4 linked regions of the Diceros bicornis minor genome follow. The protein of the gene in region 4 interacts with the protein of the main gene of each other region in a pairwise test. Links are inferred from orthologs where the notes say so. Each region holds a gene or a part of one and is shown on either strand. Other genes may lie near its edges.

What was found.
Region 1: the proteins of TXLNA (region 4) and STMN2 interact in binary tests that used the Homo sapiens proteins (3 or more experiments, as listed by UniProt). The two-hybrid records come from large-scale screens. The link is inferred for Diceros bicornis minor from reciprocal best matches to the Homo sapiens genes TXLNA and STMN2.
Region 2: the proteins of TXLNA (region 4) and MED4 interact in binary tests that used the Homo sapiens proteins (3 or more experiments, as listed by UniProt). The two-hybrid records come from large-scale screens. The link is inferred for Diceros bicornis minor from reciprocal best matches to the Homo sapiens genes TXLNA and MED4.
Region 3: the proteins of TXLNA (region 4) and keratin, type I cytoskeletal 15 interact in binary tests that used the Homo sapiens proteins (3 or more experiments, as listed by UniProt). The two-hybrid records come from large-scale screens. The link is inferred for Diceros bicornis minor from reciprocal best matches to the Homo sapiens genes TXLNA and KRT15.

Annotation. Positions count from the first base shown.
Region 1 is NC_080772.1:30,471,421-30,479,430, forward strand, and holds the start of STMN2 (stathmin-2), read left to right. Parts: upstream 1-5,001; 5' UTR 5,002-5,101; coding exon 5,102-5,120; intron 5,121-8,010. UniProt on the Homo sapiens protein: Regulator of microtubule stability. When phosphorylated by MAPK8, stabilizes microtubules and consequently controls neurite length in cortical neurons.
Region 2 is NC_080748.1:28,976,190-28,983,272, reverse strand, and holds the start of MED4 (mediator of RNA polymerase II transcription subunit 4), read right to left. Parts: upstream 3,015-7,083; 5' UTR 2,995-3,014; coding exon 2,870-2,994; intron 1-2,869. UniProt on the Homo sapiens protein: Component of the Mediator complex, a coactivator involved in the regulated transcription of nearly all RNA polymerase II-dependent genes.
Region 3 is NC_080757.1:40,843,712-40,850,854, forward strand, and holds the start of keratin, type I cytoskeletal 15, read right to left. Parts: upstream 3,002-7,143; 5' UTR 1-3,001. Other genes in the region: KRT19 (keratin, type I cytoskeletal 19), read right to left, coding at 4,628-4,909, 5,019-5,144, 5,259-5,420, 5,721-5,877, 6,110-6,192.
Region 4 is NC_080752.1:46,972,530-46,980,463, reverse strand, and holds the start of TXLNA (alpha-taxilin), read right to left. Parts: upstream 3,013-7,934; 5' UTR 2,911-3,012; intron 2,616-2,910; exon of another isoform or gene 2,350-2,615; 5' UTR 2,318-2,349; coding exon 2,140-2,317; intron 1,513-2,139; coding exon 1,174-1,512; intron 1-1,173. UniProt on the Homo sapiens protein: May be involved in intracellular vesicle traffic and potentially in calcium-dependent exocytosis in neuroendocrine cells.

The sequences.
Region 1 (8,010 bases), on a different chromosome or scaffold from region 4:
CAGGATAGGGGTGGGGGAAGTTCAGAGGTTTAGACGTTAATAAATGATTAATGAGAAAATATCCCTGGAAGGCACTATAATAAAATGCTTTTCTTTTCTCTTCACTAGTTCCCCCTCCTTCTCCTTCCAGGTGTGATTTAAAATAAACAAAATTCTTAGGCAACTAATGCTAACTGTATGTAAAATGCAATGCTCATAGTGGGGTTTCTGTTTAAAAAATAAAATAAAATAAGGCCTGTGGGATAAATAGAGTGAGTCATACTTCTCCTAAATTTCTCTTCCAAGCACTTCAGTATTATCTCCATTGTGTTCTCGCTCGACTATTGTAAGCTCAAATGCTGAGTGGAATCCCAGGGGGAATCAACTTCCCAGCTTCTGTTCTCCTTGGACTCAAGCTGTAAATCAGCTCACAGAGAGTTACAGTGATTGCTGCCAAGATAGCAAAGAGTTGTTCAACATTACCAATTTAATGCAAAGATTCAACTTATTAAATTTATATCAAGTCCTTCTTATGATGAGAGCAAGTTAGTTTCCAAAAAAGTTCAATTATAAGACCATCAATAGGACTTACTCATTTCAATAAGTCCTTTTGCTTCTGTGTAAATTATACTAATAACTAATATATACAAGTCCCATTTGGGCATAAGGAAAACCTTAGGTACAAAAAAGGAGATAAAAATTAAGCATTCTTCATTTTTAAATAACTGAACTAAGAGGAAAATAATAAGATATATTCGTTCAGCATTGCAGGAACAACTCTAACACATTGGAAAAACCCTTGAACAATCGATTTCATTGTTAATAAGGAACACTAACTCTCCTGCCTTGGAGTGACTTTCCTTTTAAATAAACCATATTGGATGGTTCTATTAAAAGACATCCAATCCTTTTTGGTTTTCATTAATCTATAAGGGTTTAAATATGGCAAAATAATCAAAATGTTAGTCATTTATCTTTTTTCATGTGTTACTATTTTAGATGCATCTCTAGATATCATCAGCTTTAACTGGATTTCCAACCACCTAAAAAAATTATTTGGCTTTTTTTTTCCCCCACAAACTTCCTTTGTAATAAACTGAGATCAAATCAAAACAATTAATTCAACTCTAACAATATTTTCCATATCTCACTCACTTCTAATAATTACTTTAGAATTCTTTTCCAGGCACTTGATTATTATTAGCAGAAAATCATGTGACTACATTAGATGACGTCAGCTAATCCTCCGAAGCAACTGTTCCTCTCCAGTTTAGAAAGAAATCAACACGTCAGGCCTTCTCACAGACACAATACAACACACTGTAACCCACAGTAATTAAAATCTCTGCTAGCACATCTTTCATTTCCACAACTTCCTCTTACTGCTGTTGAAGATAAAAGAAATTAACAAGGGTCATCTATTGACATGAGCTCTATCCACCCATGTCCTTTTGCGAACAGGGCAGGGTATAAATATAAAATACGAAATATAAAAAAAAAAATTAGTAAACAGCCTAGTACCTGGTCCCAGCATGAGCTAAGCAAAGGAAGGTGGTTGGAAGCATTGCTATGGCTTCACTGGGTCCAATCATCTTGAATTATTTTCAACAGTTTATTATTATTATTGTTGTTGTTATTTTACAAGCATTTAGTGACTGTCTACTATGTGAGTCACGAAGCCAAGCACTAAAAAGGATATAAAGATATACACTACTCAGTCCCCACCCTTAAAAAGTTTAAATGGGGGCTTAGCCCGGTGATGCAGGCAGTTAAGTGGGCAAGCTCCACTGCGGCGGCCCGGGGCTCGCCAGTTAGGATCCCGGGTGCACACCAACGCACAGCTTGGCAGGCCATGCTGTGGCGGTGTCGCATATAAAGTGGAGGAAGATGGGCACGGATGTTAGCCCAGGGCCAGTCTTCCTCAGCAAAAAAAAAAGAGAGAGAGAGAAGAGGATTGGCAGATGTTAGCACAGGGCTGATCTTCCTCACAAAAAAAAAAAAAAGTTTAAATGTATTGAAAACCATAAACATAGTAGCTATAATTTATTAAATAGCCATGATGATTTAGGCAGTTTATACGCGATAACCCTTCAGTCTCCCCAAAATCCTGCACAATAGGTATTGTTGCCCTTATTTCACACTGTACAGACCCAGTGCCTATTCTTTAATGCGGGTATGCACCCATCCCCATCAAAACCATTTGCTTCAGGGAAAGCTGATTCTCATCTCCAGACCTCTGGGGCCCATTCGACCTCTATAGTGAGATGAGCCAACAAATCCCCTTTTATTATCAGAGCTAGTTTGGGTCGTTTTTTCTATTCTTTGCCACCAAAAGCACTCTAACTGATACCCAGGATAATATTCATCCTCCAAAATTAATAACATTTTCTTAAAGAGATGGGCATTACATTTTCCTTCATTGTATATTTTTTTTAGACATTAAGGTAAAGCTTAGCTGATTTCATAATATAAAAGCCTGAAATTTCATTAAATAAATATTCCTTAGATGAATGAATTAGCTGAACAAACGAATGAATAATGAATAAACTACTGAATATGGGATAATTTCTCTGTTCCTATTTTGCCCCTACTCTCTCAGGCTAAGATGCATGATTTTAGCATGATTTTACGCTAAAAGAAAAACAATAATTCTGAGCCAGTTGGTGATAGCCTGCTCTCTTTATATTCTATAGTAAATCATACTAACCCACCCTCTCCCCTGCTTGACATTATTTGAAAATCATGCATAACTGAGGTTAGGTGGCCCACACCCAGAAAGGCAGAAATAGAAAAGAGTCAAACATCTGACACTTGCCCTGTGTACGTTGACCTCTCTCTGACATTCCCTATCCATCAGTAAGTAATGTTCACCAGAGAATGAGAGATTAGACAGTAGAAGGGGTGTTTTGTTTTGTTTTACTCATAGTGATCAAAAGTGCAATACATCTTGTTCAACTGCCAATTGTAGTTGTTAAAGACAATAATGCCATAAGTGAGGGACCTTGTTCTCCAAGGAAGCTAAAGAATGTGCAGAAATGACACATAGCCTGAGGGGAAAGGGTGCGGTGGGGAGAAGAGGAATACTTTAAAGATATAAGTCACAGAGACATGCTGAAAATCCCTCACCTCATGACTGGTAACTACTCCACTGAGAGGGAATTAGCCCTCACATTTAAAGTGGGAAATGACTATAGAGAGGGATAAAATGGTTATTTATTTCCAGACGCCGCCAACTTCCATATTGCTCTCTTGCTGTGTCATAGTCACAGACCTGTACAATGAGAGAAAAAATAATTTCTAATCTTCCTGTTCAAGAAATAATTTTATTGATCTCCACTTCATTTTTTATTTTTTCTATGATTCAGCAGGTCATAATTGCTCCAGTTCCAGTAGCTTTCTATCACTCAGCAAGATGTCCATGGGGTTAAAATATCTTACAAGTTAATAGGAGGTGAAGAAATTTATTTCAGCACCAAGGAGAGTGCCCTGTTATTTTTCTAACGGTTCTATGCATTCAATACTGCATATTATTCATGAGGATAGAAAAGAAGTTTTGAAAGGTGATTTGATAGAAAGCTGCTAAGAAAAATCCTATTCATTTCTATAAAATTAAAAACTTGCCAGGGTTTTGTACACATACATGATTTCAACAATGTGCTACTCTTTTAGCTTTCAAATGCAATGGAATTAGGGATTATTTGCCAATTTTTCAAAGGCCAAAACCACAGTTTCTGAATGGCTCTAGACTGGAGGAAGGTTCAGCGAAGTCACAGAAGTGTTAAATTAACAGTGATTAAAAGCTCCATGAGAACAAGTCCTAAGATCTTTCTCACTGCTTATCTTCAGAGCTTGGCACACGGTAAATGCTCAATGAATATTTATGTGAGTCAAGCAAGAAAGAATGAATTAATGAATGGCATTCATTAAGCGAGTAAGAATAAATTAATGAATACCTTGTTTGTAATGAAAAGTCACTTTTTGCAACCAGTCTCAGAGATCCTTATAAACCACACTGCTCAACCTGAAACTTGAACACATGTTTCCTTGCCCTTTATCAAGGGAGTCTCTGGATCTCAGAAAAACCATGCTCCAGATCACACCTTCCACGTCCACTAAGCTTTCAGTGCAAAAGTTTCTCCTTAGAGCCCTGGAAAGGTCACCGAGGTTTCAATCCATGTAATCCTACATCTCCAGGGCAGCATGGCGTCCACCCACCTGTGGCTCCCCCAATGCTCCAACCGACCAGTCCACCTGGTTCTGCCCTATTACCAGAGGGCAGGTAGGACAGAGGCACAGAACTCTCATCCTCTTCCACAAGGTCCTTAGGTGGACCCTAACTACTTGTCCCTATTCCCAAGCAGCCCAGGCAGCCCCTTCTTTTTGTGCCAAGAGTAGCAAACATCAGGCCTTGCTCTGCTGAGAAATCCTCAAGAGTCCAGAGACATCTGAATCCAGCTGCGCTGGGAGACACAGGACAATAATGCAGTTCTGCTCTGAGATGCCACCATAGCCAGACATGGGGTCACCCTGGGAGACTAGAATTTACCAAAGATATGGCCAAAGGTGAAAGAGAAAACATGAACTAAATACACCTTATAAACAGATGTTTCCAACAGTCAGCACGTTGTGAAGACTTCTCAGGCCTCTGAATCCCTTTCCTTTTTTATGTCTATTTGTGCGATGAAACATGTGTGAACTAAGTCAAGCCTGCTGGCTCGCAGGTAGTCACAGCCCAGATCTTAGCTCCTAAGAGGCTTCTGGGCTAAGTCTCCACTCTACTTGGACCGTACTATCAGGCCCCCAAAACGGGGGGAGCTGCCAGGGAAGGGCTGATTTCCATTTCAAACTGCATTCTGGTACTTTGTACTCCAGCACCATTGGCCGATCAATATTTAATGCTTGGAGATTCTGACTCTGCGGGAGTCATGTCAGGGGACCTGGGGAGCCAATCTGCTTGAGCTTCTGAGTGATAATTATTCATGGGCTCCTGCCTCTTGCTCTTTCTCTCGCACGGTCCCACTCTGCAGACTCAGTGCCTTATTCAGTCTTCTCTCTCGCTCTCTCCGCTGCTGTAGCTGGACCCTTCGCCTTCGCCACCGCTCAGCATCCGCACATCCCTACAATGGCTAAAACAGCAATGGGTAAGGCATCGCGCCTCGTTCTCCCTCGGCTCGACCTGGAGCCCACCTCTCAGCTTCTCTCTTAGAGCTTGGAAGGCAATCGGAGATATTTTAGAGAGAAAAAGACGTTAATGGTAATAGGAGCACCAGGAGGACGGAGGCAGCTCTGGGGGTTTGGGGAGGGCAAAGAGAAGGTCCTTGGAAATTTAAAGCTAAGAATTTCTTTTAGAAGGTAGAAGCAGGTAAGTTGCCCTCCTATGGGTAGGGAATTTATTCTATTTCCGTATTTAAAATTAGGGCTCAATCGTGGGGGGTGGGGGTTACCGTAACTGTTTGCCTTAAAGGGGGTTAAGGGACATTTTGGAAAGTGCTTTGTAACGTCCTTTATTTCCTCTCTAGTTAAAGAAAGAAAATGGGGAAGAGGCAGGGGAGTGGAAGAAAGGAAAAAGAAAAATGCAAAGTCAAAGCGGTCCCATCTAGGCTGTTTGAAAGATGGGTGGAGACGAGGGAGGAGGGCGGGTGGAGAACAGGGCAAATTTTATGGTATTGTCTCGCCGGAGAAACCGCTAGTCCTGGGGCGCGGTGCGGGGAAGTAAGGGAGGGGGCCTATACGCCTTTGTTTTAGGAAGAGGGAGGGGAAGGAGAGAGGAAGTCGGGAGGGCAGGAGGGCGCGGGTGGGCAGCTGCAGGGGCGGGGGAGCGCGCGGCGGGGAGGGGTGAGGGACAGCAGTTTCGCAGGCGCTGGGGTGGGGTTTCTTTGTGTGAGGACGAGCGGTCCCGGGGGGAGGCACCTGCGGCGCCGGGCGCCCAATGCGGGCGGCCCCACCCTGTGCGGAGCCGCGCCCGCGCCCTCACCCCTTCCCCCAGCCGGGTGCGGCATCGCAGCCCAAAGGCGGCCGGGTGGGGAGCGCAGCGCGACACCCCGGAGCCCAGCCCTGGGGGGCCAGCGGCGCCACGCCCCCGCTTTGCGCTCCTGACTCCCAGCCCGGGCCACCGAGAGAGACCTGACCACTGCCCCCGCCTTCCCCACCCTGGCCTCATTGTTCTGTTTTACAGAGAGCGGGGGAAAAGTGGGTTAAGATTTTTCTTTTCAAAACCACATTACATAGAGTGATTCGACATAGGCACAGATAAAGGCTTCTAGGAACTCATCTGGGAAAAAGCTTCTGGAACCCGGATATGTGTATGTATAATAATACAGATACAAAAGAGGTCAAGGTCTTAAATTGAGCTACGTGAAATATCCGTGTCGTAGGTCAGACTGGGCCAAATACCCGCAATTTTCATGGGTTCATGAGATTTCGGATGCAGGGCCTCCATCCCCAACCGTTCTTGGGCCTCAGGTGCCCCGAGGTTCAGCGCTCGGTGGCCCGGGGTGGGCCAGCAGGGAGGGGCCCGAGGTCCCTTGGGGCTGGCGACACCCCTCCCCCGAGACGCGATGCGGGATGCGGAGAAGGGGAAAAGCCCCGAAAGGGCTCGCTCTGGACAGCTCCGCCCTGCCCCACCCTCCCGCGGAGCTGGGTCTGGGACTTGGCGAGGAAAGGGGGAGGGGCCGCTGAGCGGTCTGCAGTGCTAGCGCCCCGTTTTCCAGCCCCGCAGTCCAGAACGGCCCTGGCACCCCTCGATGTTGCGCAGACACGCGGCGTGGCGCCCAGCCGGGCGCCGAGCCCCTCCCAGCCCAGTGAGCGGCTCTGCAGAAGGCTGGCTCGAGCCCCGCCCGGCCACACAAAGGCGCGGCCCCACCCCAGCGGGCCGCGACACCGCAGAGGTGACCCCTTCCCGGGGGTGGGGGGCCGGGTTTCTCTTCTCGCCCTCCCACAGCCCGCGGAGCTCGGGGCTGTTTCCCCCCCCGCCGCAGCCCCCCGCCCACGCTCTGTTCTCCATGCTTTCCCCGGATGGAGACCCCTGGGATGGTCTCCCACGGAGGGACCCTCGCTCCTGCAGCGAGGCGTGGCTCGGCCCCACCCCTCCCAGCTGGGGCCCAGACCCGACCACCCCTCCCAGCTGGGGCCCAGACCCGACCGCCGCTGGCCGGGTGGGGGCGCACGTGGCGAGCCGGCGCGTGGAACGCAGCCAGCCCTGCAGAGCCCCGCGCCGCGCCCTGCGCTGCCCTCCCCGGGCTGGGCGCTCGGCCCCGCGGCTGCAGCCGGGGAGACGGGGTTCTGCGCAGAGCCCTGAGCTAGCCTCGCTTCCCGCAATTCGCGCTTCACCCGCAAGTCCGGAGGGTTCTGAGAAGGGGGGATGGGGGCGATCTCGCCCTGCGCTCTGCAGCCGCACCGAGAGGTTTCTGCTGCAGGAGGGCGGCTACAAACTCATCGTCATCATCACTATTATTGTTTGTATTTCAAATCATTATTATTATTTCATGACTCAGTGGCCCTATTTGTTCAAAAGGTTTGAATGATTGCATTTGATTAAGGATTCTACTCCTCCCTCCCCTTCTCCCCCAAAAAGACTTCTTTCTGCGGTGGTTCATTTTACGTTATAAAGCAAATATATTTTCGGTTCCTGTTGGGATTATGTATGTTCGTGTGAGTGGGATATATGTGCAGGTGCTTGCTAAGGGAAGGGCTTGTGTGCCAAAGATTGCTGGAAAATTCTCCGCAGAGAATCGTTTGTGGCTGCAATGGTGAAAAGATACATATATAATTGAGATGGTATGATCTTCGCCGTGGATTCCATAAGGTTATATCTATAAATATGTAAATATAGGTTATGCATAAAATTTTAACTGTTTTTTTAAACTATTCTTCCAATTGCTGATTCTTGATACAGTCTCAGTTCTGCACAGAAACACGGATCGTGAAATGGTAGCCACCATCCCATTAATAAAAATCCCACCCCAAACAGGACAGATGCAGGCATCCTCTCTGCCATGAGTAAGCTGCATTTGCAAATCATGAAAGGAAGCA
Region 2 (7,083 bases), on a different chromosome or scaffold from region 4:
AGGCTGCAGAGTGCCTCAAGAAGGACGCATATAGGAAGGAAGGAATCAATAGATTTAGTGAGGAGGACTACAAATAATGAGAGATCAAAGTCATTTTGGCATTCTTGGAGAAAGGGTAACAGAAGAACTACAGTTTCTTTCAAAGGAAGCAAAAGAGAACTCAGCACCTCAACTGATCGTGTACAGCTGGAAAGCTGAAGCAGTTTCAGAAATCTTGAGGCTCTTGAGGAAAATTTAAATGATTCACCATTACTTTATGGGTAAATACATTTCATCAAACAGAAAATGCTATACTCGGTAATCAAGGAAAGAATCAAATATGGAGAAGGATAAACAGGGTCAATCTAGGTACAAGAGAATTTCAATTTAGTTTCAAATTTAACGTAACTCATAGATTACTTAATTATGCTATCTCAAGTGAAGAGTACATCAACAGCAAGTATATGGACTCCTACAGGTACCAACAGCATCAGGAAAACACACCTCAGACACAACCAGTAGCCAAACGATCCAGCGGCAAGATCTCAAGATGGACCACTGGGTTGTCCAATGTCAGAAGAAATTCTCCAAGACTGTTACCCTGGATGGGTAGACTCAGAAAAACAATTCCTGAACTTGAATATGAAATATATACAAGGGTTACTCAGCAAAACAGACAAACAAATCATGTTACAGCAAGTAGACCTCAGAAAAGAATAGAATTTACTGGGCTCCAGAGTAGACAAGTGAGAAATAATAATTCATTGAATATACTAAGGCAAAGATTTGGAATTTTAAGACTAAGACCTACTTAGAACAAAAGGCAGCACACACTACTTCCCAAAGGAGGTGTCACTTCTTCACAAAGTCCACATATTTACAGAAAAATTAATCACCAGCATCCACACCATATGGTTGGTCCAAATGAACAAATAATAAGGAACATTTTACTGGTTAGGTTGAATGCACTGAGTTTTTCAAATGAAAGTTGGTCCTATTTAGAATAGCAGTGAACTATTTACAAGAGGTTAATTTGGTGTTTAATAGCTAACAAAGAATAACAACTCAACCTGAACTAAACAAAGCTTCAATTAGCTGTCCCGAAGACAGTCGTGTCAACAGAGCAGAGATGTGAATAATTTAACTGCAAAATTCATACCACGAAAACTCTTGTCTTGCTAGCGTCTTTTTACTAAGAAATCATGCTGGTATTCACTAGATAGGATTAACTAAAGAGGATACTGACAAGTTGTCCACCACAAACTACAAAGCCAACAAAGACAAAGAAGGAAATGAAATAGCACCTGCATTAATCTGCGTAAACATTTACACAGCGGCAACACATTAAGACAGCTTGCCTGTGAGTTTCTTGTTCACTGTACTGCCTGCTGGCTGGCTGAAAATTCCACGTGCCCTATTTGTCGTCAGGCAGTATTTGAGTCTAATACTATCCAAACAGTGGATTAAACACATAAACTATTTAAGTTCTGGTGTCTGTGTGTTTTTAGGATTTAATTATGTCATTGAATATTGTGCTAACCTAGTAATCTGGTTAAGCAATGCTTGCTATAGCAAGGACTAAATTCACAGCCAAGATAAAATTTATCAGAAGGTCAGGTAATACCATATATAAGATTTATTCTAAAGCTGTCAAAGAATGTGGTACAGAATAGGTGACATTTGAGCCGGATACTGAAGGATGAATGATTCATCAAGTTGGAGGTGGAGTGAAATGGCATTGAAGACGAGGAAATATGGCTAGCTCTAGAATGGGGAGCATTCACCCAGGCTGGAGTGAAGGGTACAGGAGGCTGGAGGGGTGTGGCAGCAAATGAGGATAATAGGATGGATTAAGACAAGAGGGAGAATGGCCTCATTGTACACTAAGCTAAAGTTTGGACTTCATTTCATTGAGTAATGAGAATCTACCAAATATTTTAAAGCAGAAAAGTGACAAGAGATGCCTAGCTCTGCCCTTGGCAATATAGAAGGATAAAGTGCAGAAGGATTAAGGCAAGTAAAACTGTTGAGAGGCTGCATTAAGAAGTAGTCATGACCATGCAGATGGGAACGGGAGGCCAAATCTGAGCAACATTTTAGGAGAAAGAACCAAAACAATTTTAACATCCAACTGAAGGTGAGGGAGTTAAGGAAAGGCTGCAACTCCACAGACTACCATGAAAGATGACAGAATAAGGAGAATGACATCCAACTTCATCTCCTACCTCTATCACACACGCTGCACTCCAGCCATCCCAAAATTGCAATTCCACCACCAAGTCGTGCGTGCTCATGTTTCCAGGCCTTTGCCCATGCTGTTCCAGCCACCTGCAGCCTAGTGAGTCTGGTGAACTCGTTCTTTCCATATGGTCCTTCCTCCAGGAAGCCTGCCCTGACTACAACCGGGACAGGCGCCTAGTCCCGGGGCTCCAGGAGCCCGCAGTGCACGTCTTGATAAAAACAGTCTCCGCGCCACAGTCACTGTTTACACGTCAGTCTCTTCCCCTGACACTGGCTCCTCCACGTCGCCATCTACCCCTCACTACCGTCTCCCAGCGCTCGGAAGCCGGGGGTGTTCCTTAAATGTTTGCTGAGTGTCGTGGACGAAAAGACTCACACGGGGCTCTCCCTCTAAGGTCCGCTGCGGTTCTGACAGTCTTGGGGTTCCAGAGTCACTGTCATTATTAAAATGTCCTCTAAGGGGAACATGCCATCTCGGAGTCCCAGAGGGTTGCAGACACTCGTGCCCCGTCTTTGGAGTGAGCGCCACAGTCCCCCGAGCGCGGCCGTCCCCGCCGAGCCCCGGCAACCAGAGGCAACGCAGGGCCGGCGGTCCGGAGTCAGTCCGCCCGGCCCAGCCCCAGCCAGGCCCTCAGGCCGACGGCATTACCTCGACAAGACCTCCAGATCCTCCAGCGCAGACAGCAGCCGCTCTCGCGTGCTGTTACCGCCCGCCGCTCCCGAGCCGCCTGCCGGCCGCTCCTTCTCCTTCTCGCCGCTCGAAGACGCCGCCATTCTTCGCTCGGACCAGCAGCCGGCGCCTGCGCAGCTGCGCGCTGGCGACGACAGGCGGGCTGGGGAGGCGGAAGGAAGGGCCGCCGAGGCGGGGGAAGAGAGGCCCGGCCGGAGCGCCCCCTGCGCGCCCAGAGGTGCATTGCGCGCGCGGGCGCCATCTGCTGGGCCAGCGAGGGCTTTCTCGGGTCCCACCCTGGAGCGAGAGCCAAGCCCACAACGTGGAGACGCACCTGCGGTCAGGTTTTCCAGCGACTTCGCGTCTTCAAGCAGGTATGGGAGGCTTCTGCTCGACGGATTTTAAACATTCGAGGGAATTACATAATGGCCCACCTCTTGTGTCAGTTCTTCGTGAAATGGGCCGGGGTCTTCTCAGTATTAACCTCTCTTTAGTCTGCATTCCCGTTAACGCTATTCCCACCCTCCTGTTTGGCATCTCTTGAACGCAGTAAGCACCTTAGGACCAGAACCATGATCCAAATTTTTTTTTTTTTTTTGGGAGGAAGATCAGCCCTGAGCTAACATCCATGCTAATCCTCCTCTTTTTGCTGAGGAAGACCGGCTCTGAGCTAACATCTATTGCCAATCCTCCTCCTTTTTTTTTTCCCCCAAAGCCCCAGTAGATAGTTGTACGTCATAGTTGCACATCCTTCTAGTTGCTGCATGTGGGATGCGGCCTCAGTATGGCCGGAGAAGAGGTGCGTCAGTGCGCGCCCGGGATCTGAACCCCGGGCCGCCAGTAGTGGAGCGCGTGCGCTTAACCGCTAAGCCGTGGGGCCACCCCATCCATCTTTTTTTATCTTCAGTTTTTCTTTATTGTGGTAAAGTACACATAACATAAAAACGTACCTTGTTAACCATGCTTAAGTGTATAGTTCAGTGACATTAAGTACATTCATATTGTTGTGCTACCATCACTATCTCCGTAACTCTTTTCATCTTGCAAAATTGAAACTGTACCATTAAACAACTCCCCATTCCTGCCTCCCCCAGCCCCTGGTAACCACCATTCTGCTTTCTGTCTGTATGGTTTTGACTGCTCTAGGTACCTCATAAAAATGGAATCATACAGCACTTGTCTTTTTGTGACTGGCTTATTTCACTTAGCATAATGCCTTCAAGGCTCACCCATGTTTTACCATGTGTCAGAATTTCTTTCCTTTTTAAGGCTGAATAATATTCCTTTGTTTGTGTAGACCACATTTTGCTTATCCATTCATCTGTTGATGGGCACTTGGGTTGCTTCCTCATTTTCATAATCCATCTTTATAATCCCATAACTCCCAACAAAATGTGTTGCTCAATGCTCCACACGACTGTTGAATTGAAGGAATCAATTTACTATGTAAGTGGTAGTTAATTAAATTGTTGTAGCACATATTCCAAATCAGAACTGGATGTCAAAGCCAAAAATGTACCTTAGCCCACTTTTCCTGAGGAGAACAATGTAGTAGGGGACTTGCAGTCTACAGGAAAACCCAAAGTTACAACAGTATTGGAAATGGCGAGTTCTATGTTGGTCCAAGTTGGGCTGTAAAAAATGAGTTGAAGAGTTGTCGCCTACAGACAACAGCTGGGAAGGAGGCAGGCGTACTTGTGATCCCCTTATTCCAGCATCCTGTCCTCTGGTCTGTCCTTCTGCTGGGCACGTAGAGTTGAAGATTCCCTCGGGGACTCATGCTAAATAAATTCATTCATAGCAACTGCTGTATATAATCCAGAATGCTGATTTATTCACTTACAATGAAAAGTAGTAGTGCGAAGCACAATTTTACTCATAGACAAACCTACACAAGAAGCCAAATTGTCACCAGAATGTCATTTGGTAAACTTGGATCAGAACAAATGAAGATAGACAAAAAATCAATTAATACAATCATCAGGATTTGCATCTCCATAGTGTAGGGACATTTGTGTTAAAGAGATTGGAATATTTGTGTTCATAGGTCAGGGTGCCTTCTCCTCTAGACAGTGCAAAGGCACCAGACACCTTTTATTTTCCAACCACCCCCCACTTCTGCTCCTGGCCAACCCCTTCTATTAATACAGTCAATTCTCAGGCAGTGGAATAAATTAGATGTATGTTTTCTCAATTACAGTTGCATTCTAAGCATGCATCCCAGTAGCTCTAGTCTGTAATCTCTTATGTTAAGTTTCCAAGGGACTAAACTCTTACACTCTCTGTGGGTTTTGTTTACTCAACTCTCACAGGTTCATCTTGGGCCATAATTCTCGGGGGGGAAGGGAGAAGTTCAGTAACACTAACTATATTAGTGTAGCTTCCACGTAAATATTCTGGGAGGATTCTAATCAATTTAAAATGACCAATTATCAGTCCTACTTTACAGACATTGAGAGTCAATGGATGGACAGTGTATGTGTGCTGTGAACTCCAGACCTCCTCAGATTTATTGCAAATTCTTATGCATGTTGAACATTGTCTATAGACTGATAAGTAATAGCATTACCCACAGATATACTCTTTCACAAATTGTGCAGATCCAGGTGTGATAAACAAAATATGAGTTATTTTATAATATATATATTAAAATTGAATATGAATATTTTATATATCTTATAGTTATTATAATAATTGAATTCATGGTAACTTTGCGTGTAAAGTATTTTCTCAATCTACAGACTCAAAAAGGGTAAGTGCTACTTTCCTATGAAATTTTATGTATTTAACCTGCCAGGTACTGTTCTTTAAAAAAATGAAAACTCCTTTAATTCTCATAAGAGTCCCAGAGGCATATACCGTTATTATCGCTATGTTACAGATAATGAAGTTAGGAGGCAGAGAAATTCAGAGACTTGCCCAAGGTCATACAGCTGGTGAGAGGCAAAGCTGAGATCTGAACCCAGAGTCTGACTCCAAGGTCTGTGCTCTTAGCTGCTGGTTGTCTTGCCTCCCTTTTTAAAGAAAGAGGTGCCTTCATGTACTGAAAAAGGGTTACTTAGGGCTAGTCTAAAATACAAGCTCTGTCGAACGCACAGTTTGAAACTCTGAGTAAAAAGCAGCTGCAAACCTTTCGTGTGGCGGTGTGAGCATGCAGCGAGAAACCCAGCCAGGCCGGTCCCTAAGAGTCAGCAGAATAGGTGGCCGTATACACTATGTGTGGTTTTTTTATTATTATTTTTTATTTTTATCAAGCAATGTTTAAAAGTCAAATAGTGCTCAAAAGCTAACAAAAACAAAAAAAGTTCTCAGTCACTACCTCCCCAACCCCCACATCCTGTCACATTCCTCTCTCCCTAGCGGCAACCACTCTCAACATTTTTAACTGTTTCTTCTATGCGTTGCTTCCATATTTTTAAATAATATGCATATATTCTATGTCTCTATTAAACCCTTTGAGAAATTTATTGCTTTCCTATTATAATGGAGAATTTTCTCTCTCTTACATGTAGCTAGAATCCAATTTTTTTTAAATCTATCATCAGTGCTTACATTACTACACTATTATTTACACGTAACTATGTAATTATTATTTGTTTGAGATGCCTTACAGATATCTCTGTAGAGATTTTTAAAAATTGGAATAGAGCAGAAAATTTCTAAAGCATCAAATTACATTGCACTGCTTTGTGGAAACATTTTTCAGTTACATATTTATGTATGTGTGTACTGGGTCAAAGATTAAATATGTTTTTTACTGTGGATCGAAAAAGTTTGCAAGCGTTGGAAAGTAAGGAGTAGAAAAACATGTTCTACCTGAAGTGCCCTGAAGGGAGAGTCTGTATACCTTTTGCATTCAGGGGGCAGAAAATTAAAGCAAACGTGTGCAAATAAAGTGGTGTGTTGCGATAATTATCTGGGATGCGTTGCACAGATAGAGGGTGTTATAGGCTAAATTGTACACCCTCAAAATTCATATGTTGAGGACCTAACCCCCAATACCTCAGAGTGTGACTCTACTTGGAGGTAGGGCCTTAAAAGAGATGAGTAAGTTAAAACGAAGCCATTAGGGTGGGCCCTAATCCAATCTGACTGATATTCTTATAAGAAGAGGAAATTTGAACACACTGAGAGATGAGGGATGCATGTGCACAGAGAAGAGACCATGTGAGGACACAGCAAGAAGGTGGCCA
Region 3 (7,143 bases), on a different chromosome or scaffold from region 4:
ACCAGGCTCAGGGTTGACACGGGGCTGATTGATCCTCCCGCCACCTGCCGACCGCACGTGTCCCTGAACCTTTGCTTGCTCCCGGAACACGTCGGGGCAAACCTCTGCAGATAAAACTGGAACACGTTCTGGGAAGCCCCTGCCTCCTCCTCCGGGGAGAGGCATGTCGCTGCATAGCTGGGCCAGATTAACCCCATTTGTCCTGCAAAGTGATGTGGCGCTGGAGCGGGACCTAGCCCAGAAGGCTCTACGTGCCTGAACGTTGTGGGAAGGGAGGAAATATGGAGGCCTGGTGGGCAGACTGGAAGACACTTCGAAGATCTTGAAGGCCAAGGCACCACTTCACAGAGCAGGTTGCTGAGGCCAGAGAGGGGAGTCAAACACTCAGGAGAGCCCTTTTCTCTGTCACCAGCTCAGGGGCCAGCTTTCCAGGGGTAGCTGGTACCTGTGCACAGTGCCACTTGGAGGCGTGAGGCTGGGGAGGTGAGCAAGACTAAGCTGGAGATGAAAGAGGACTCCTGGCCCAGGGCTGCAGCGCGGTGAAGTGGACAGCGCTCGGGTGTTCCTCAGGCCTGGGTTCAAATCCTGGCTCTATGGGTTACTGCTTGTGAAACCTTGGACGTGTTACCTGTAAGTCTGTTTCCTTGTGGCAAGGGGCACTCTCAGCTCTCACTTATGGGGAGGCCCTGAGGCCCAAGGGCCCCCATCCTGCTTCATCCTGGCTCCCCATCTTCTGGGGGCCGGATAGCAGGGTGCATGTCCAGTACCTGGGACTCCCGCGTACCCTCACCAGGAGGGACTTTCGTCCTGCAGCATTGCTCTTCCAGAGCCAGCCCCACTGGGCACCCAGTGCAGGTGGTTGCCATTATTGCTGTAACAACAGTAATCCCTTACCTTCAACCGCACACTTCACGGTTTAACAGAGCCCTTTTGCATCCATCGCCTCCTCCAATCCTCACGACATAGAAGACGATCCCTGCCCCTGTTTCAAAAGAAATGAAATTGGGGCTCAGAGAGGGGAAGCAGTTTGTGCAAGGTGGCACAGCTAGTAAGGGGCATCGCTAGGACTCCAGTGGGTCCTCTGACCCCACTTAAACAGAGGACAGGAAAAAAGAGTCCCTCCCACAGACCCCAGATTCGTGCATCTGAGCTGGTAGCTGGGGGCGGGGGGGTGGGTGGTGTTGGTTCTGCTGGCCTGGGGAGTGGGGACGGGCTGTCCCTCAGTGAGCCAGGCCTCCGTCCGAGCATCCCAGTGCTGAGCCCTGACAGTGCTGTATTGTCTCATGGGTGGGCGGATATTGTCTTTTCCTCTGAAAGAAAAATAATCAAACTCAGATCAGCCGTAGCTCATTAAAGCCTCTGTAGTCATTAGGGCCCAGCAATTAACATGGAAAAAATTATGCGCCATCACCCAGGGTGAGGCAGGACTGGACCCCAGCCAGCCCCTCTTCTGCACCCTGACTCCCCTCCAGAAGCCCCTCGAGGTGGCTTTCCCTCCTCTCTCAGGCCCATGCCTGAGGCAGCAGCTGCCCCGGTCACAAATCCCTGGTTTCAGCCTAAAGAGCTCCTGTGAGCTCTAGGTCTGGGTGGGGCTGGGCCTGCTCATTAGCACCAGGTGGCGATGGCTGCACGGGCGGAGACCCAGCTCCTTTGGGCCCAGCCTGGGCTGCAGGCCCTTCCTCTGGCAGCCCGCCCAGGAGGCTGTGCCAGTTTCTGTCCTTTGCCCACAGCAGACAGACAGGCCGTCCCCAGAGCCGGCCTCTGTCCTTGGGGTGGGACGATGCAGCCCAGCGGAAAGAGCCTGGGCTGGACTCCGCCTCTGGGTGTGACAACCTCTCTGAGCCAGGTTCCCGACTTAAAATTGGGACATTTTTCCACTTATATAAGGCCTTAGAGTAGTCAAAATCATGAAGATAGAAAGTGTAATGGTGGCTGCCAGGGCCTAGGGGAGGGAGAATGGGGAGTTATTGTTTAATAGGCAGAGAGTTTCAGTTTTAAAAGATGGGAAGAGTAATGAAGATGCATGGTGGTGACGGTTGCACAACAACGTGAATGTACTTAACGCCACAGAACTGTACACTTAAAGATGATTATGATGGTAAATTTTGTTACGTGTATTTTATGACAATTTGAAAAAAAAAAAATAATTGAGTCACTAACACTGACCCCTGCTACAGGGCCACAGTGAGCATTTAATGGCACATGGGGAGGGGTGCCTCCATAAACCTGAGAATCCGCTACCCCCCTCCCCCACTCCCCACGGAGATGCAGGGGACAGAGAGAGCGTATGATCTGGGGCCTGGAGAATTGCTCCTTTGTCATTCATTAGATATGTGGCTTGGGGTAATGGAGCCTCCTATCTCTGAGCCTCAGTCTGCCAATCGGAAAATGGAAATAACTCCTGCCCAGTCTGACTCACAGGGATGGAGCAGAGAACTGACAGGAAATGCTTTGCAAACTGAACTGGTCATGATGACCAGCCGGGGTGGAAAGACCTCACCTCCCTGTCCCCTTCCCCTTTCTCTCTCCCCCTCTCCCTCTCCTCTATCCCAGCCACTTCTGTCAACAGAGCACCCCTAGTTTCAATTCTCAGACTGAGACAGAAAAGTGTCCTCACCCCTACCTCCCCAACACACACACACACACACAAAGGAGGGCTTCATTCCTGACACCCAAACCTGGGACCCAGTCACCTGCTCCACCTGTGTGGGCCCAGCCCCAGACCTACAGCCACATTCTAAGAGCCTCGGGGCAGAGGGGAGGGTTTCAGCTGTGACAACAACAGAGGCTTTCATGAACTGGGACAAACATCCTGGGAAGTCCCAGCCTGGCAGTAAGGCCAGGCCTCTGGCCTCTGGCTCCAGGGCCTCCTGAGAAGTTAAGTAGGAGAGGGAGCTGTGGGGGCTGGAGGCTGGAGAAGAGCTGGGGACGTGGCAGAAGGGGCTCCTGGCCCAGGGCTGCAGCAGGGAGAGGGAAGAGCTGGGCTCTGGGGTCACCCGTTGATTCGTTGATTCGGAGCAAGCTAATAAACTTTTCCAAGGCCCAGGGGAAACGGCGGAAAGGGGACCTCCTTCAGGATCGGCTTTGCGGGCCTCCTTAGCCAAGAGTCAATCTGTTCCCCTATAGCAGACCTTCTGGGGGAAGGAGCAGTGTCCCTTACAGGATTGGCCTGCTGTCACACAGATCTGCAGGGCCTGAACAGACTCCCTCAGCCTGAATCTCTCAGCCAGGGCGAAGTAGGACTTATTTACCCTTAATTGGCCTCAGTTCTTGGCAGCCAAGCTATAAACCACAGGGGCAGGACCAGACCCACCTGAGGGCAGAGCAGTACCAGGAAGCTGGGACCGGCGTTCCTTTGCTGGCCCGGAACCAGCCCAAGGCAGGCCAGTTTGGGGGTCTGTGTGGGAGGTCTGGGTCTCATTCCAGGCTCTGGGCCCAGGCATGGCTGGTGGGCATAGGGGCTTATGCAGGGCTGCCCGGGACATGGATGAATGTGTTAGTGCACGCACACCGGCAGATGCACCCTCTCCAGCCTTACTCTGAGCGGATGCCTGCCCCCCCCATTACTCAGGCTCTGACCCCAAAGCCGCAGTTCCTCCTTCAGTTAAGTGAACTGCCTCAGGGGATCCTGGTCCTAGGCCTTCACATGGAGCAAGACTGGAGTGTACTGAGGACTTGGCATAAGCAGGGTGGATCCTAGGACACAGGGGTGCAGGGGTGACACTGTGGTTAAGAATCAGGAACCCTGGGGCCAGCCCGGTGGCATAGCAGTTAAGAGCATGCGCTCCGCTTCAGCAGCCTGGGCTCTGGATCCCGAGCACGCACCGATGCACCGCTTGTCAAGTCATGCAGTGGCAGCATCCCATATAAAGCAGAGGAAGATGGGCACAGATGTTAGCCCAGGGCCAGTCTTCCTTAGCAAAAAGAGGAGGATTGGCAACAGATGTTAGCTCAGGGCTAATCTTCCTCACAAAAACAAAAAAAAAGAGAAGCAGGAACCCTAGATTCTGGTCCCGGCTCTGCCACGTAGTCGCTGTGTGGCCTTGGACAAGTTACTTTACCCACTCTATAAGATGTAACTCATACTATCTACCTTTTTATGTTGATTAAATGGCACATAGTAGGTATACAGTAAACATTAATTTCAGACACACACACACACACCAACCCTTGGGGGAACACAGTGTAAAGAAAACGAAATCTGGAAGCAAAACCAGTTTCAAATCCCACCTCTGCCGTGTGTTAGAATAGTTATACATACAACAAATCACTTCACTTCTCTGAGCCTTAGTTTACCCCTCTGTAAAATGGAAGCAATGCCTATTTCACAAGGTTGTTTTAGGGAACAGGTGAGATAAACGAAGACTTCTGCAAACAGGAATCACAATTAACAGAGTTTGTGAGCGCACTCCCGTCCCTTTCCTTGGACAGGGTGGACTCTGATCCAAATAAAACCTGAACAGTGCCAAGGCCTGGCCCATCTCCATGGGCTGAAATAACAAACCCAATGTCCTTCCTCCCTTGGGCCATAAAATTTTATTGGCAGATCAGAGGGAGAGCCACAGTAAAGATCCCTCCCCTCCCATGCCCCTACTCAGGGGCATCCCTCCACAGGAGGCTGCCGGACTCAGTGGGCATTGGGGGGTGGCGGCTTGTCAAAGGGGCGGCCCGGGCCCACAAGCAGGGTGGGGGCGTCCTGGCCCTCCAGCAGGCTGCGGTAGGTGGCAATCTCCTGCTCCAGCCTCGTCTTGATGTCCATGAGCTGCTGGTACTCCTGGTTCTGCCGCTCGGTGTCAGCACGCACGTCGCTCAGCTGGGCTTCAATACTACTGATCAGAGCCTGGATCTGTGCCAACTGCGCTCCGAAGCGAGCCTCTGTTTCTGCCAGCGTGCCTTCCAGGGCAGCTTTCTGAGGGCAGGGAGAGGGAAGGAGACTCAGCAGAGCATGGTTCCCAGAGGGGAAATGGGCACGCCACCACCCAGGCTACCCAAGCCTGCAAGGACTTGAGGGCACATACCATGCTGAGCTGAGACTGCAGCTCGATCTCCAGGCCCTGGAGAGTGCGCCGCAGGTCGGTGACCTCCGTCTTGCTAATCTGCAGCTGCTCTGTGTGGCCAGCGACCTCCCGGTTCAGCTCCTCAGTCTGCAATAAGAGAGGAGGTGGAAGGAATAAGCCCTGAGCCAGAACTTTGCCTGGGAGCATCAAGCCCTCCCTCCTGATCACCTCCCCAAAGGGCATCTGCTTCCCTCTTCATACCTTGCTGATGAACCAGGTTTCAGCATCCTTCCGGTTCTTCTCAGCCATGACCTCATACTGGCTTCTCATGTCGCTCAGGATCTTGGCTAGGTCAACGCCTGGAGCAGAATCCACCTCCACACTGACCTGGCCACCCACCTGGCCCCTCAGGGCACTGATTTCCTGGAAAGATAGCAGAGTGGGCATGTCAGAGCCCAGAGCCTGCTGGGTCTGGGCCAGGTCACGCCCCCGGCCCCCACGCCTAAGGGGGCTGGTTTTCAGGTGCAGACCTAGGAGGCAGCATGGGGGGATAGACTGGATTGCCACCACTCCCTGCTGGAACCCTGGGAGCCACACTCTGCACCCAGGGCCATGCTGAGGGTGCAGCAAGTATGGCGACAGTCAGAGGATACAGCATAAAAAAATATCCTCAGCCCTGGGAAGCTAGGGTGGAAAGGATGGAAGGCCCAGCTTGAAACACACCTCTTCGTGGTTCTTCTTCAGGTAGGCCAGCTCTTCCTTCAGGCCTTCAATCTGCATCTCCAGGTCGGCTCTGGCCAGGGTCAGCTCGTCAAGCACCCTGCGCAGGCCGTTGATGTCGGCCTCCACGCTCAAACGCAGGGCCTGCTCCGTCTCAAACCTTTCAGAGGCAATAGCTGCAGTCAGGCCGGCATTTCCTCTGCACCTCTGAAGACTTCCCCACCTCCCCAGGGTTTAGGAGTCTATGGGGTGGGGGAGGAGTTGCTTCAGACCAGCTGGGGTGGGTGAGGGCAGGGCCCAGTCCCCCCACTGCACTGAGCCCCAAAAGGGCCTGGGATTGCCCCTCCTTCCCTGCCCCGGCTTCTGCAGCCCTCCAGGGCAGAGGCGCTTACTTGGTGCGGAAGTCATCCGCAGCCAGACGGGCATTGTCGATCTGCAGGACAATCTTGGAGTTCTCAATGGTGGCCCCAAGAATCTGAAAGACAGGAAGCAGGAGGTTACTAGCATTGCCCACCCACTTTCTCCCCAGAAGAGAGAGAGGAGAAAATGAGCATGCCCTCGTTCCCTAGAGACCAAAGCCCCAACCACCTCTCAGGCTGCCCATTGGCCTGCTCCCTAGGTCTTGGAATCAGTCCATGCTCAGGAGCTGGAGCAGGAGAAACCACTGCTGGGGAGGCTGAGCCGGGGTTAGGGAATGGGCGAGGGAGGGCAGGGAGGTAAACCGGGAGGAAAGTCTCTGAGACCCCGTACCCAGGGAAACTCTAAACGGTCTTAGAGAGGCACCTCTAAGTGATGTGCAAACCGGATGCAGGGACGTGTAGGGGTCACCCTTGTCTATACCCCCCCCCCCAAAGCACACTCTGCCTCAGGGAAAGGAATTCCATTTGTTGAGCATCTATTATGTGGGGGCACTCTGCATCTCAACTTTCACACCAGGTCAGTGGGTGCACCTGATTTACAGAGGTGGAAACTCAAGTTCAGGATTCCTGGTCCAAGTTCACCCCAACCAGAGGTCCCTCCCCTAAGGGGCGTATTCACACCATTGATTAAGATCCTTGGGTTTAGTGTTTTTCAAAGAACAAGTTGTGACTCGTTAGTCATTGTACTGGGTGGTGATTTGCACAGTTTTTTAATGAAACAGAACAGAATGTCAACTATCAGAAGGGTTCACCCACAGCAGGGTAAGGATTGTTTCAAGAAGCTTTTGCTTCCATTGTGTGTGTGGGGGGGGGAGAGAGAGAGGGAGGGAGGGAGGGAGAGGGAGAGAGGGAGAGAGGGGGAGAGGGGGAGGGAGAGAGAGGGAGGGAGGGAGGGGGAGAGGGAGAGGGGGAGAGAGAGGGAGGGAGGGAGAGGGAGGTGGGAGAGAGAGAGAGAGGGAGGGAGAGTGAGAGAGAGGGAGGGAGAGGGGGACGGGGGAGAGAGGGGG
Region 4 (7,934 bases):
GTCAACACAGGCAGCCAAACAGTGAACTTTAACATGAGTATACCTTCCAATATTTGATGCTAAGGTGAAAAAACAACAACAAAAACCACCCTCTTTAAATTAGAATGGCAGGTAGAGGTGGGGGAGTAGGAACTAAGACATGGGCATAATATCACCTAACTTTGATTCTTTAACATACACTAGCCTGAGTCCAATTTTCCCACTGTCACCTGGAGGGCCGGCGTACAGAGTACAGCACGAGGCTCCTGAAGGGTCAACCCTGGGAGGCTCCGAGATCAGGGTGGAGACTGGAAATCGCTGGCACACAAGCCAAATCCAACCCACAGATGGGTTTTGTTTGGCTCCCAGCATATGAGTTGCCAAATGTTAGAATTCTGGACATTTCATGTAACCCTAGATTTCTGGCTTTTTTTTTTTTTTAATTTTATTTATTTATTTTCTCCCCCAAAGCCCTAGTAGATAGTTGTATGTCATAGCTGCACATCCTTCTAGTTGCTGTATGTGGGACGCAGCCTCAGCATGGCCGGAGAAGCGGTACGTCGGTGTGCGCCCGGGATCCGAATCCGGGCCGCCAGCAGCAGAGCGCGCGCACTTAACCGCTAAGCCACGGGGCCGGCCCATGGCTTTTCTTAAAAAAAAACAAAAAGGAAAAGCTGGCTACACTTAGCCTGTGGTTTTACATGCAACGTTCTGGGACCAGGCGGCAGTCAACCCTTTGGATGAAGTAGGTACTCTCTTGGTCCTCATGGGGCCCCCCAGCTAGCTTGGCTCATTTGAGTTTTCAACCCTGGTCTAGGCCAATTCTCTTACTGTAGAGAAACAAACATTAAGGACTAGAGAGAAGAAAGGTCTTGCCCAAGGTCACAGAGCAGGTTAGAAATGGTGCTGGCTGACACAGGAGCCCACTCAGGTCTCCTGCTCTCCACTTTGTCAGAGAGCGTAAGTTGGATTTCAGTTCCTACTTGCTCCCAAGGCCAGAAGCCCTTGCACAGTGAACAACCTGCACACTTCTATGCAATGGCCCCAAAGCACTGGCTTTGATTAAACTAGCGGGACTCTCTGCTCTGGGAAGCAGGATTTCCTCTGAATCCTGGCAGAGCAGGCTAGCCCAAGGAATGTCAGGTCCAAACTTCTCCCCCTCAGCACCCTCACAAGCAGCCGCCCTCTGCTCACCCAGACCCTTGGCTTTCTTCTTCTCTTGTGGCCTTCGGTGGTCTCGGTCTCCGACTTCGTCACCTGCCCGGATCTCATCTGTGCCTGGCTCCCCCTTGGAGGTCTCCTTCTCACCATTGACTACTGGGGTCTCTGGCTCAGGCTCCCCATTCCTCGAAGCATAGGTCCGGGACTTCTCTGCATCTTCAGGCTCAGCAGGCTCACCTTGTGCCCCGTCCTCACCTGGGGCCCCCTGATTGTTGTCCACACAGTAGGTACTCAGGATGTCTTCCAACTGGCGGCTCAGCTCCTCAGACACATCACGGAGGGCCCCGGACTGAGCAGTTTTGGCTTGTGCTCCTACACCAGGAGAGGAGGAGGAGCAGAGTGAGAAATAAGATGGTTATACCAATGGTTGGCGTTTTTCAGGTCCAAACTTACTAGTTTGGGTGAGATGTTGCCTAACATCTTTAAGCCTCAGTTTATTTACCTATAAAATGATATAATTATTTCTCACTGCTGCCCGATTGTGTTTGAGTATAAAAGAAATCAAGTAAGTAAAGCATCCAACATAGGGATGGCATGTAGCAGTTCAACGTCTAGTCCCTGCCCTTCTCCTCCCTGCAAAACTCATTTCTTACTATTAAAAAAGTTCCAGAAATGCCTCAAATATGAACAGCAGTTACCCACTGGTGAATAAGGTGTTTCTAACCTGGATTTGCTGGCTAGGTGTCTCATCTGACTGCTCCCTGATTTAATCCTGTCAGAGCCTTCTCTCAAGACAGTTCTGTTCCTGTGCTTAGGGTGGGGGCTCTACCCACTCCCCAGGAAACGGTGGGGACCGCACAGACTCAGCAATGTCCTCTTCTCATTCTACATTTCCTCCTTCCTGGGTAAACAGTGGCCCTGCCCTCTAACTCCAGAAGCTAGACTGGCGAATCACAAACTCCTCCCCCTGCCCGCTGGAAAAGCAGAGCTGGCACACACCCTCAGTCTTCCCTGGAGCCTGGCTGGTGGAACTTTCAGCTTCTGTCGCAGGAGCCGACTGGCCGGGCCTCCCCTGGGCTCCCTCCGGTCCTGCTTCCGGTTGCCCTGGGGTGCTTTTTGGGTTGGAAGTGTTGCCCGATTGCTTGGCAGCCCCATTCTTTTTGTCTTGGTTCTTCATTGTGGTTTGCAATGCTAGGTTAGGAGCAGATCCTATAGAAACAAGCACACTTGCTATTTTCCAGACTAAGAAATTCTTCGTAGCCTGGATCAGAAATCTCAACACTGGGCGCACAAAGCTTCTTAAAACAAACTGGCCGGCCTTCCCCGGAGGGAGCCAACGGTTCCCCCTGTCTCTAGCCAGTCACAGGAGCCTGGTGTGCCCAGGCAGGTTTTCCGGGCGCTGCTCCGGGAGCGAGGAAGGAGAGGCCTCCTTTTTCCCGAAACCACTTCCCGGGGACAACACGGGCCCTCACGCAGGCCTACCGCGGGACAGGCTCAGGGACCGAGACTGACGTGGCGAGACGCTCCATCGCCGGTCCCTCCCCGCCCCCTAGGCCCCACGTGGGGCCCCCAGCGCGCGCCCGCGCGCAGCCACCCACACCCCGCGCGCCCTCCAGCCGCGCGCTCCGCCCGCGCATGCGCACAGGTCTCAGCCCTGCCCCCCGGCCCGAGCTCTCGCGCAGAATCGGCGTGTTTCCCCGCACTGGCCGAAAGGGTTCAGGTCCACAGACCGTCTGATCGCCTCGTCCCTCTAGCCGCCGTGGTACCCACCTCAACGCCAACGTCCCGACGGCTTCGCCCGCTCTGGCCTCGCACCGGAAACCCTGGGTAACCGCTGCCGGCAGAGCCGCCTGCTCCCGCCGCAGCCAATCAATAGCCGGCGCTCTCGCGAGGCTTGCTGGGAAAGATGAAGCGAAGGCAGCCTCTGAGGCCGGTGAGTTGGGAAGGCGGGGGAGGGAGAGGACTACAAGTCCCTCCATGCACTGGGGCTGACCCCAACTCCCAAGATGCAGTAGGAAGGGGTTTAGTCTTGGAGCCCGATACCCAGGAGGTCCGAAAGAAGCAGGTCATTTTGCACAAACATCAACGTCAACCTCGTTTCCATTACGCGGAAGCTGTGATTCAGCTCTCAAAGCCTTGCCCCTGGCTGTTCTTTCTTACATGCCTCCACCCTTTCTGCGAACATCTATGACTATCTAGGAACTCTGAGGACAAGGGATAGAATACTGGGGCTGGGAATCAGGAGATTTGTATTCCAGTCCTAACTTCATCACTAATTTGCTGTGTGACCAGGCATTTTTTTCTTTTTAACAATTTTTATTTATTTATTTATTTTTCCCCATAGCCCCAGTAGATAGTTGTATAAGTTGCACATCCTTCTAGTTGCTGTATGTGGGACACTGCCGCAGCATGGCCAGAGAAGTGGTGCGTCGGTGCGGGCCCAGGATCCGAAGCCCAGGCCGCCAGCAGCGGAGTGCGAGCACTTAACCTCTAAGCCACAGGCTGGCCCCTGGCATTTTTTTTTTTTATCCGAGGGCATCAATATCCGTATTCAAATAGAAGCGTTTAATAACAATAGCAGTTCTTTGAGCGCTTACAGTGTGCTTTCTCAGTGTCTACTAGCTTAATCCTCATAACTAAGTACTATTTGTTATTCCCATTTTATAGCCAAGGACCGTAAGGCAAAGGTTAGATAACTTGTCCAAGGTCACATCGTTATTGAATGGTTAGAGCAGAGATTCGAGACCAGGAAGTCTGGCACCAGCACCCATCTTTAACTACTAGACTACCCTGCCTCTTACCCAGAAGAAATAACCACCATGGGACGCTTTCCCTGACGATGACTTGTGACTTGTGAAAGTAGGTTATATTTTTTCCCCTCTCCATTACCAGCTTGAGTCCCTCTTTGGAAAGGGTAAGGGGGCCCTGTAAGGGGAATTTTGGCCTCAGCAGATTCCTGAGCCTTTTCTTTGACTGGCTCATTCTCTACAAAGTCTCAGTTGCACTGGGGCTAAAGGGGAAAAAAGCCAAACTTTTCTCCGCAAGTGATATCACAATTCTTTATCCAGTTGCCTAGAGGTAATGGAAAAAAAACCGACAACTCTTGCACATGGAATTTAATGTCTACATGGTTTGGCTTCTGTTTCTAGCCGATCCTGCCCATCCCCTCTGCCTTTTTTGCTCCAATTATACTTTTATTTCCAGGATTTCCTAGGTTTTTGCAGGTGCTATTCCACCTTCCAAAACGGCCTTCTGGCAAAAACAAAATCTTTTGAAGTCCAGGTCAAAGGTCACTTCAGAGCCTTCCCAGTGCTCTGCAGTCTGTCCTGGCTCCCTAAGTCTGGATAGAGGTCTTATTACAGCATTAGTAACAAGGTGTTGAAATTACTTGCTTTACAAGTCAATGACATTGCGAGAACAACAATGACATTGGCTAAATTCTCTAGTCCTAAAGCCTAGCATCATTCTGGAGGCAGAGAGTTTTAAATTGTTGTGCAAATTGGGCATTGTTTTAGGGCTCTTAAGATGTTAAGTATTTTCCCCAGTTAGAGACTTCAGGGCAGTTCTCTTCCACATCCCTTAGGCAGCAAGAGTTTGCATTTTCCAGGTAACATTGAGAGGCAATATGGTATAATAGTATAATGGTCAAACTCAAGCTCTGAAAGGTTTGGAATCCAGGTCTCACGAAACCAAGTCCCTGCTTATTTCCAGAGAAGCACGTTGGAAATTTCTTGAGAAGGTAACATATAAATCAAGCCTTGATGGATTTTCATGGGAAGAGGATGTTCTAGGCAGAGATAAAGAACATAATAAGCAAGAACAAGGTATGCATGGGGTGAAGGGTGGAGTGGTGTATCAGGATCATCAGTGGCCTACAGGGGCCACCTGGGTAATGAGTAGAGCAGGCAGGCAAGGAATAAGAAAATTTGATAGAAACATGGGTTAAAAAGTTACTTTCTCCTTTGCTGTAAAAGAGAATATCACCAATATTAGCATCTGCCAGAGTCAGTCAGGGAGACCATTGAGAATGGCGGTGATTGTGGTAAAATGGAGCTCTTGCAGATTGTTTTCAAGCAGAAACTCAGGCCCAGCAGTGCCAGATATTTTTCAAGATAGATATATCTTTATTTTTTTAAATGTTGGCAACAAATTAAACCTTAAACACACTCTATCAGCCAACCAAAACCCTCCTTTTGGGTTGAACCAACTTTTTGTCTGTAATCTCTGCTTTAGGAACTGATCTAAAATGAAGTGGGTAGTTGTGAACTGTATGACCTCAATGGGCTCAAAGGGCTGTGGAATGGTGCTGATGAAATGATGTCAAAATCCTTTAGAGAAACTCTAGAAAATATGCCAACTAAACTATAGTGACAAAATGCAGATGCGTGGTTGCTGGGGGTCGGGCAGGAAGGAGGGATTCCAAAGGGGCATGTGGAAACTTCTAGAGGTGATGGATATGTTCACTATCTTGATTGTATATGCCAAAACTTATCAAATTGTACATTTTAAATATGTGCCATTTACTCTATGTCAATTATATTACAATAAAGGTGATTTAAAAAGATTCTCTATAGCAGGAGCAGGCTGTTGCAATTCTTAATTCCACTGTTAGGCCACAAGTTTAAACACCCTCTCCTCATTCGCTTCCACAAAATCTAGGATCATTCCAAAGAAGACGATTTAGAACTTTGCAACAGGTTTTTATTTTTGCTTTATATCTATTACAGTGTTTGAAACCTAAAGAAATACATTTTCTCTTCAAATTTGGATGTGTATATAAATATCATTTGTCTGGACTCAGCACACTCAATGCCATGGTTTCTTGGCCTATGTCTGCTCTGAAATAATCAAGCTTTGTCTGTCTACCCAGGGGCCCTGAGAACATGGAAAACAGCCAGTTTACAGTTCTTGGAAAACTAAAAGCAAATGAATTTGGAAAGAAAAACCAGTAAGGAAAAGGGTTCGATTCACCTTCCTTAGGTTTGTAGCTGGGAACCCAAGCTGTTTCTGAGGGACAGCCAGTCTGTCTTGGGTGGCTAAGACCTCACAGCCCCTTCACTTCTTTAGTGGTTCAATCAAAGGCAGTTCCCACAAAAGCTGGCCAATACCTAACTCCAGGGCCTGAAGGTTCTTGTAGAGGTGGGCTCTTTAAGGCCATCTTGTGAGTCAGAGGTTCCTAGCCAGTCTCAGGCTCTAAGCTTTGACTTCCTTCACTGCCCCCAGGGCATGGCCAAGTTTTCTCTCCCCAAACCCAGGGGCTGAAAATCTGACCTACACAGGGGAGCAGGGCTAGTGTTTAGCAGAAGGGTTCAGGTATGTGCTAACGCAGACGTCAGCAGTTAGGCTTGCCCAGAAGTAGCGAGGTAGGCCCAAAGCCACTGAAGACCTTTATAACACACTACACAAACCTTTCTCCCAGGGTGTTCTGGGCCCAAAATTTAACACTGCTTCTTCTAACTCTCATACCCAGTTTTGGTTCTGCACATAGCCCAGGCCTGATGCAAAATGCCCTCTGAGAGGAAAATAACAGCTTTAATTCACAGACTTGGTTGGTATTGACCTCAAATTCTTCATTTGCCGTGGTCTTAAATCTGGGGGTGGGGCTAGGGGCTAGACAATGGGATGACTGAATCATTTAGGAAGGCCTTGGTCAAAGAGCAGCTAGTGCCTACCATATGGATCTCCGCAGAGCCAAATTCTCAGCTTGTTGGCTTAACAACAGAATCCAAAAGTTAAGACAAGAAAAAATACTGGACAAGATTGGTCTAGAATGTGCAATCCTAAAACGGCTGTGGAAGAAACCCACTCTGGGCAATTTTTCACTCTCACACTCACTTTTTGGATAGTCCTACCTGGAAGATGTTGCTACTGGTTATGAGCGTTTCCTCAGTTCAGTGCACTGAGCCTTGCACCCTTCCCCAGCCTGCCAGAGAGGCAGATAGTCATACACATTCCTGAGGCCCCCAACCAGCCTGTTTTCCCTACGTATCCCTGTAGTGCCTGCAGGGACCTGGAGAACCTGACTCCCTGCCTTCAACTGAGAATCCAGAATCTCACCCCACAAGATGAATCTACTGAGGAATACCCAAAATGATGGATACCAAGCTGAGTCTCACTGAGAAGAGATGTGGCCTGAACAAATGAGCTGAGGCCTTCAAAGAGGGGCATGTGGGATGAGGAAGTATTCCCAGGCATTCATCTCCTTCCCTTCTAGTTTGCTAGAAACAGGGGTAACTCTAGGATGTAGAAAGAAGGCAGTAGACTTGAGAAATGGAAATCCAGTTCATTCTGATAGACCATTTTCATTTTAAACTGGTTTGGCTTGAAAGAAATAGCAAGTCAGTGCCTGAGAGCCTTCCTTGCTCTTCCTTAGCTAAGTACAGAAGCAGTTATAATCTGTGCAGTTCAGTTCCAAAAAACAGGGCTCCTGGAAAGTGGCTTCTACAGCAAAGAGAGAAGGAGTAGATCTAAGAGTTCTAGGAAAAGGGGGAACATCAAGGGTCGGGTCCCTGAAAGCTGAGATCATTAATGCCTGCTTCTTAAAAGGGTCATTTGTACCCACTACCCCAAGTGACCAGGCTGGCCAGATGAGGGTGGAACCCTATGGTTCAACCAGAAGGTTGCAGCCAACACCAAGGCTAGGCAGTCACTGGGGACAGCTCAGAATTGAAGGCAGGCTTCTAAGACCAGAGACCTTGTTAGTACTAGAAAAGATGATTTTGGGGTGGGATGTCCAGAGGGGCTGGCAATAAATAGCTGGCACTGTTCAAAACAGTATTTGAACACACTAGTTA